2 linked regions of the Xenopus tropicalis genome follow. The protein of the gene in region 1 interacts with the protein of each later gene in a pairwise test. Links are inferred from orthologs where the notes say so. Each region holds a gene or a part of one and is shown in the gene's direction. Other genes may lie near its edges.

Evidence for each region.
Region 2: the proteins of gad1.1 (region 1) and haao interact in a two-hybrid assay, tested with the Homo sapiens proteins (4 studies listed by BioGRID and IntAct). The two-hybrid records come from large-scale screens. The link is inferred for Xenopus tropicalis from reciprocal best matches to the Homo sapiens genes GAD1 and HAAO.

Annotation. Positions count from the first base shown.
Region 1 is NC_030685.2:68,065,674-68,070,112, reverse strand, and holds the start of gad1.1 (glutamate decarboxylase 1), read left to right. Parts: upstream 1-1,409; 5' UTR 1,410-1,696; exon of another isoform or gene 1,697-1,708; intron 1,709-3,087; 5' UTR 3,088-3,154; coding exon 3,155-3,224; intron 3,225-4,439.
Region 2 is NC_030681.2:17,292,103-17,296,372, reverse strand, and holds the start of haao (3-hydroxyanthranilate 3,4-dioxygenase), read left to right. Parts: upstream 1-1,456; 5' UTR 1,457-1,538; intron 1,539-4,270. UniProt on the Homo sapiens protein: Catalyzes the oxidative ring opening of 3-hydroxyanthranilate to 2-amino-3-carboxymuconate semialdehyde, which spontaneously cyclizes to quinolinate.

The DNA of each region.
Region 1 (4,439 bases):
CAGGAAAGAGAGATAGGTGAGTGATTAAAAGAAAGAGTGAATGGGAGAGAAAGAGAAGGATTAGAGAATGCAAGGGAGAGACGTGTGGGGAAGAGAAGCAGGCGTGAAGGGACAAAGATCAATAAAATAATATAGTATGGAGAAGTACCGAGCTGGGAGGGGAGAAGAGTATGAGAGAGGGATTCCAAGGAACAGGAAAGGGAATGCTAAGAGGAACAGAGAAGTTATAATGAATAGGGAATTATATAAAGTAATAGGAGGGAAAGGCTGAACAGGAGAAAGTGGCTGAGTTGGGGCAGAAGAGGTGGAAAGAGGGAAAGAGTAGGAAGCAGTGGGAGAATAGGAAACAGATTGGGAGGGAAGGGGGGAAGAGGAGATGGTTGGGTGGTTGGTTGATGACAGGACAGACAGAATAGCAGGGAACTGAGTACAAACATGTCTGTGCTGCATTATCAGGTGTAACAACACAGGGAGGCCCAGTCTCATAGTTGCCAATGTGTTTTTCAGGCTGCGTCCGTCGCTCTCCATGGTGCTGAAACCTGGAAATCGCTCTGCGTTCGGGCGCTTTCTCTTTTACCGGCAATTACGTCAATAAAATCCTGCGATTTCAGATAAACGGTGTGTGTTTTTCTTTTAAGGCACACATGGCTTTATTTTAGCAAATAATTTTCAAGCTATAAGTCTATGAAGATTTAAATAAAATCATAAGATTTTCCTGTTTTGCACTTTCACTGGGAAAATGGAAATATAGGTGTTCTCTGTGCAGAGCCTAAACATTGTTAAGCACGATTTATTGCAAAAGCCTCATTGTTCGCGAAATAGATTTATTTGCTAGAACTGCGACGCCCTCTAGTGTCCACTGGGTGACAAAACAAACAACATCCATCACCCAGATGAAAATATATGTGGGAATTAATGACATTAAAAGGACAACCTGAAGAGACGGTATATGCTGGGCATGCCTTTAGCAGGTGCTGAAACAGTAAATCGGATTAAATAAAGGGAAAAAAATGGGTTACACTTTAGGCAGACAAACTTTGAGAAATTCATGAAGAAAATGTAATGAAATTGCAAAATAAAAGTAAATATAAAGGGGGCAGGTCAGGGGGGATTTAAGGCAGCCAAGGATAATTAATTCATTCTAGGCGATCACGACGATATTGTTTCATGTAGTCTTATAACAATAAATGCTGATTATGAACCTCTTTAGCAGGACCCAGGGGAATAACAATTGTACCTCTCACACACGTCTGGGTCTGTCTATTGGAATCTGGGGGCTGATGAGTGGGGGAATAATAGGTGAGTGTTTTTCCATGGGAAAAGTGGGTGCTGGGTGTATAATGCATAGCCCCAGTGTTGCCTCCAAATGGGTGCAGAGCAATCACGTTAGCCTGTGGCTGGACATGGGAGCAGCTCAGCAAGGGATGTGCCCCCTACACACGGTGCGGACTAGAGGAGGCGTCAGTGACTCATGCCTGCGCACACACAGCAACTGCCTCCCTGCCTGCCTTCAAAATCGCACATCCAAGCACTTGTGGAGGAGACGGGGGCATCCCTAATTCCTTCCTGCGCCCCCACTGACATTCAAACGTCTTTCCTTTCTGGAATTTCTATAAAGAGGAGTTTATCTAGCAAAGCTGCTAGGTCCAGACTCCAGCCAGTTGGACTTAAGTGCTCTGGATTTGGGAACCTCCAGGTACAGCAGTAGGTAAGCTGCTCATTTAATTATTTGCTCATATAGATAGAGATAGGTAGTTTAAATATATATCAGAAATAAATATAGATATAAATATGACAGATTAGATAATAGATGATGATAGATAGATAGATAATAGATAGATAATAGGATATATTGATGATAGATAGATAGATAGATAGATAGATAGATAGATGATAGATAGATAGATGATAGAGAGATACATACATACAGATATACAGAGGGTAGGAATTCTTGCAGAAGTAAGCACATAACCTGTTACACCATCCCTTGCTCACAGCGCTGGCATCTAGTTCAAGGAGATATAAAGCTCACCTTGCTCCCAGCGGTGCCCATAAACCACACTTATCCCTTCCTCGATCAATTTATTTCTAATGAATATTTGATTTCATTGGAAGAAACATAAAACTTGTGAAGGGTGACACCACTAACTCGATCCATGTACCACATTCTGTAGGTTTGTTTAGTTATCAATCAGGCACACAAACGCACAAGGCTAATTTATCAGTGAAGGTTTATTTTAGAGACGTGTTCGTACAAATTCAATATAGCAAAGTCTTTGTATTATTACATAGAGACGGAGTCTATAAATTGATAGATACATAGATTAGATAGATAGATAGATAGATAGATAGATGATAGATAGATAGATAGATAGATAGATGATAGATAGATAGATAGATAGATAGATGATAGATAGATAGATAGATAGATAGATAGATAGTTAGATAGTTGATAGATAGATAGATAGATAGATAGATAGATAGATGATAGATAGATAGATAGATGATAGATAGAATTTTGTTGCATTAGTGTTTTTAAATGCACATTTAAAAACGTTTAACATGTTTCTGCTTTATGACACTAATAGCCTTTTATATCTGTATTTACCCCTTACTTACCTTCAGTGCTGCCCAACACACACAAATAATGTTAAGGCATAATGGACACAAAGGGTATATCTATAAAGCCAGTATTAACAGACCCCGCTGTGTCCTTTGTGCTGAAATAATTTATTGTACCAATCCCCCAGTCCCTGTGCGATTCCCCCCGACACAAGTCAGTGCCCATAATATGATTACTGGAGATCGTATGCTCCGCTGAGCCTTCTACACAGGACACATCGCTTAGGCAAAAATCAAAAAAGCCTGAAAATAATGTCACTTCCAACAACTTTTGCCTCCTTGGATCCCTGATGGCCAGAGATGGCCTAGGATGTTCTCCCACTATTAGCCAAGTGCTCGCAGCAGATTATGGATCTAGGTCATTGCCACCAGGACCCAGACTTGCCATTGGCATCTTCATTTAAGTTGGATTTATTGAGTCTGTGCTTCCTTGGTCTTAACAATGACTTCCCTTCTTTATTTGAGGTGGATCTCCCTATCCAGTCTGAACATTAGGAGAAATCATTAGCCCAAAAGGATTGTCACTGGAGAGATGGCATCGTCTTCCCCTTCATCGTCCGACACCAACCAGGACACCAACCCAATTAATCTGCGACCCACAAGTAGGAAACCACTATTTTGTATTCGTTTAGCAGAATACGGGGGGATGCAATAAAAAAAACGAAATTTCCCCTTTCCTCTCTGGGGATCGGTATATTTGGAGGGTAGAATTATTTAAGGCACAAAAGGAAAATATAACGCAAAAAAAATAAATCCGACATCTGACTGAAAGGATTTTGCTGCTGCTTTGAATCGCAGTCTGTGCAATTCGCTCGTTTTATGTTCTTTCTGTACAATCTATAATCACCCATCATTTTGCTGGTAATTACAGCTACTGGGGGCTAAATTACATTTAAGTGGATGCCATTGTACTTGGCAATAGGGAGGCTGGGGTGTGCGGGGGTTAAATTCACCCCCAGCTCTGCCAGGCCAATTTAGGCTACTCTGTAGAAAGGGGGGAAGGTGGGTGACAGGATCGCCATAGACAAAGAGAGGGAAGGCAGTGTGGCAGCCCCTGTGAGTCTGGGGAGGATGCAGGGGCTCTCATGCATGAACAGAGAGTCATTATTGGGATCATTCGGAAACGAAATGGAAAGGAGGGGGGGCTGAAGCTCACAAATCAGAGAAAGAGACGATAAAGGCATTTGCCTTGAGCTCCCTGGACATTGTACTGTGTTCCTAATAGATGGCATTAATCTGAATAGACTTCATCAGCCGATAAAAACCTTTAGTCGATGGGAGCTGCCCAGCTTTCCCTTGGTATTGGTTTTCTTCTAAAAGTTCGTGTTCTGCTGCTGGGTGCCGAGCTAATCCCGCCAGCTAGGAAAGGGTTAATAGCAGTGATGGCTATAGTGTGGTTATAGTGTGGCTATAGTGTATAGTAAGGAATAGGATACACGGTCTTGGTGGGGGGGGGGGGGGGTAATTGACTGTGGGGTTGATCAGATACCCAGAATGCTCTCTGCCTGTCCCCGCTGGTTACGGAATGAGAGATACAGTGTTGCCTGAATTCATATATCCGAATTAATCTTTTCCTTTCTGGGGTCACTTATTTAGCCCTCACCCCCCAATACTCCGCCCATGTGACTGCGCCTCAGCCCAGCCCAGAGGTGCTAGAGACCCCCTGCCCCCCATGTACCTGTCTGACTCCCCTCCCTCCCTATTTGTCTCTATACAGTCTGTGGGGGCAGGTAATTCCTATTTACTTGCTTCAGGGAAACTAACTGATCTCTGGTTACTGCTCAGAAAATATTCGGATCCATTTTTTCTGTATAAGT
Region 2 (4,270 bases), on another chromosome or scaffold:
GATCCCAACTAAGATATAATTACCCCTTATTGGGGGCAGAACAGCCCTATTGGGTTTATTTAATGGTTAAATGATTCCCTTTTCTCTGTAATAATAAAACAGTATCTGTACTTGATCCCAACTAAGATATAATTACCCCTTATTGGGGGCAGAACAGCCCTATTGGGTTTATTTCATGGTTAAATGATTCCCTTTTCTCTGTAATAATAAAACAGTATCTGTACTTGATCCCAACTAAGATATAATTACCCCTTATTGGGGGCAGAACAGTCCTATTGGGTTTATTTAATGGTTAAATGATTCCCCTTTCTCTGTAATAATAAAACAGTACATGTATTTGATCCCAACTAAGGTATAATTAATCCTTTTTGGATGAAAAACAATCCTATTGGGTTTATTTCATGTTTTATTGATTTTTTAGTAGACTTAAGGTATGGAGATCCAAATTACGGAAAGACCCCTTATCCGGAATACCCTTGGTCCCGAGCATTCTGGATAATGGGTCCTATACCTGTATTTGCAAAAGACGGCCACAGCAATGGGCTCCAAGGTGCAAGCCTGCACTCACTTCATCTGATTAATTAAGAATTCTACTGCTACATTATATATTTTCACAGGAGTTTTACCTGCAACCTGCTTGCTTTCAAGGTTAAAACCCCCAAATAGTTGCCCTCTTTATTGGCCCCCACTGGGATCACTTGAATGTAGCAGGGAATGATGGGAGCTGCTTTAATATATTGCAATATATGTACAAACAATCCCTGTTTTGTTTAAAGTGGGACATTTTTTATATCTATTGATAATTGAGTGCAGAGTACCTCTTGTGGTTAGGACTCTCTGAGATTGACACGGTTATTGGGCAATAGCCACATCATAGCCCTGCTCCGGTGACATCACCAGCCACAACATCCCCTTTTTTGCTATTGTTTATACAGGGGAAGGGGCCAGCTCCATGTTCTAGCTCCCATCATTCCCAGCTACAGTCAGGTGATCCCAGTGGAGCCAATAAAAAGGCAACCATTTGGGGGGGGGGTATAACCTTGAAAGCAAACAAGTTGCAAGTAAGACTTAGTCCCTGTGAAAAATGTATAATGAAGGAGTAGAATTCTTAACGAATCAGATGAATGACAGTGAGTGTAGGGCTGGCCAGGCCGGGGATGCCTTTGACATAGTTGGCCAACTTATATATATTGCAATATATGCACAAACAATCCCTGTTTTGTTGAAGGGCATTTCCTAGTAGCTTAATGAACTTAATAAGTGAACGCAGAGGACTTCTTGTAAAAACTTTACCAAAATGAGGAGTACTGGTTTCTAAATGGAGTGCATTTGTATTTATTAACACCTGAAACTGAAAGTAATGATATTTCTGCTATTTAGTTCCCAATTTTACTCTGAATCAGAGTCCCGTGAGCTTTGCAGCCAGTACATTAACCACTCGCTTCCCAACAGTAACAGCAGTTACCCTCCCTTGGGAGGTTGGCAGCCTGGCCGCAAGTAAACGCACTGTATCGTACATCACAGTACCAAGCGGAAAGGTAAGATACTTGGTGGTGGCACGCTTGTACCTTTATACCGGGGCAGCCAAATTTACAGTCTTCAGGCACTTAAAGGGTTAATTTCTTTTAAATTTAAAAGCTGAATTTATACAAGGGGCTAACAGAACCCCTTGGAGGTGAGTCACTTTTCTGAGTTTTTATTTAATAGCATACCATGATTTCGACACTTTCTGTCTCTTGGGGGTCCCACACCAAATACTTATGGGAATGAACAAGTGGAGAGCGGCAGTGTGGAGCATGAGGTAAAGGTATAGATTCAGATGTGGGGGTTTGTGGTGCAGTCCAGGCAAGAGGACTTGGCATGCAGATTCAGGCCGCCATTGGCCACCAATATACAACTTTGCCCACCTCTTAATGTACAGAATGGCCTGAAACTAAAGTTGCCAGCTTTTTTGGAAAACATACCAGCTTTGCTATATTTTTTCATTTTTCCTAATAATAACATTGGCATCAAGCATAATCTTTGCAGACTAGGCCGGTAAAATACATGCTAAGAAAGAAACCGCCAGGTTAGGAAGGTTCTTTCTTAGCGTGTTGCAAGCCAAGCTCTGTTCATGGCCCCATCCTGCCCTGTCTGACGTAGGCCAACTTTTGTCAATTAGGTCAAGACTGAGATTCAAACTAGGCCCTGGTGTTTCATGTACACAGAGGCCCAAACAGGCCCAATAAATAGTGAGTGTCTGTGGCTCTACAGACTGTGGCGCAACCAGCACTGCATTTCAGGCTTCATTTACAAATCGCACGGATGCAAGTGGTGTAGCCCTAAGCCAAATTGTGCCTCATATGACACCCCTATCCACAGAGCACCTGTACCTGAGGCATCTGGCGCAAGGTGCTAAGTGCAGTGCTGTGTGTGTCATAGACAGGAAGTAAACAAAAACACTGCGTCTTGCTCTGATTGGCACTCCCTAGCTTTTGCATGTAATACAGTAAAAACACCCCTATGGGCAAAAGAGCAGGGCAGGATGGAAGTCCAAAAAAACTGGAGGTCTGTGCCCAGTTTTTTCTCTTCACACAAAGAAGAGCAAATCTCTCCATCCATCAGAACTACTGCCATCTTAATTCCGAAACCAGTCTATTTTTAAAACCAGTCAGTCACAAAACTAGCTAAAAGCCATTTCAAAAGTAGCCCAAAAATAGCACAATATGGGCAGTGAAAAAAAATATGAAAAATAACAGAATATATCTGAAAATATACCTTATCTTAGCCCTTTCAAGCCTGGAATTACTACCCATGCCCAGTGCCCACTCCCCAGATTCATTCTAGGATGGCTGATTGCCCTGCCCCGTGTGCCCAATACACGCAGGTTATTAGTTTTACGCCACTGGCTCCATCTTACAAGAAAATATCCAGGTATTCCAGGTACTGAATTAACCCCAGACGTAGCAGTGGGATCAATGCATACCACCCAACAATTAGAAACAGGTGTATTAGTAACTATCACACACGGGCCGGTAAAATATCAGCCAGGTGCTAAACGTGGCTTCCTTCATAAAGGATTCGGCCCAATACCAAACCAAATCCTAATTAGTATATGCTAATTAGGTTACGGAAGGGTTAACTTTCATTCGCAAATGCTAATTAGGGCACGGTAGGGTTAAATTTTCAACTACTGTTTATGTGACAAAAAGCATGTGATTTTTAGGATTTGGAGCATGGATTTGGCCGAATCTGAATCCTGTCAAAAAAAAAAATCTTGAACTGAATCCTGGATTCGGTGCACCCCTAAGGCTAATGCTACGCGAGGTGTAGGGCGGATATTTTCGGCAAGCGTAAAAGCGCTAGCTGAAAATTCCGCCCTACGCCTCCTACATGTGCCCAGGGCTGGAACTAGGGGTAGGCAGAAGAGGCAGCTGCCTAGGGCGCAACGATTAGGGGGCTAATGACAGGCGGCAGGGGCAATGACAAAGGAGGAGGACTAGGGGTAGGCAGGAGAGGCAGCTGCCTAGGGCGCAACGATTAGGGGGCTAATGACAGGCGGCGGGGGCAATGACAAAGGAGGAGGACTAGGGGTAGGCAGGAGAGGCAGCTGCCTAGGGCGCAACGATTAGGGGGCTAATGACAGGCGGCGGGGGCAATGACAAAGGAGGAGGACTAGGGGTAGGCAGGAGAGGCAGCTGCCTAGGGCGCAACGATTAGGGGGCTAATGACAGGCGGCGGGGGCAATGACAAAGGAGGAGGACTAGGGGTAGGCAGAAGAGGCAGCTGCCTAGGGCGCAACGGTTAGGGGGCTAATGACAGGCGGCAGGGGGCAATGACAAAGGAGGAGGACAAGGGGTAGGCAGGAGAGGCTCCTGCCTGGCGCCCCCTAATTACCCATTGCATCGCACCCCCCTAGAACTGCGCATGCGTGCCAATTGGGGGGGGCAGGGTCTGTGTGATGCGATGAGTCATTGCAGGTGTAGGGGCGAGGTGCCTTGGGTGCCTGGTCGGCTTGGCCTGCCCCTGCATGTGCCTGCATCAGAATGAATGAGATACGCTTGGGTGCAGGCACATATAGCCGAAATACGCATGAAAACGCAAGACTTTGCATTATCTCGCGTTTTTATACGGATATCGGTTACATGTGCCTGCACCTGAGCGTATCTCATTCATTCCGGTGCAGGCACATGTAGGAGGCGTAGGGCGGAATTTTCAGCAAGCGCTTTTACGCTTTCTGATAATATCCGCCGTATGCCTCGTGTGGCATCAGCCTGACAGGAATGCACAA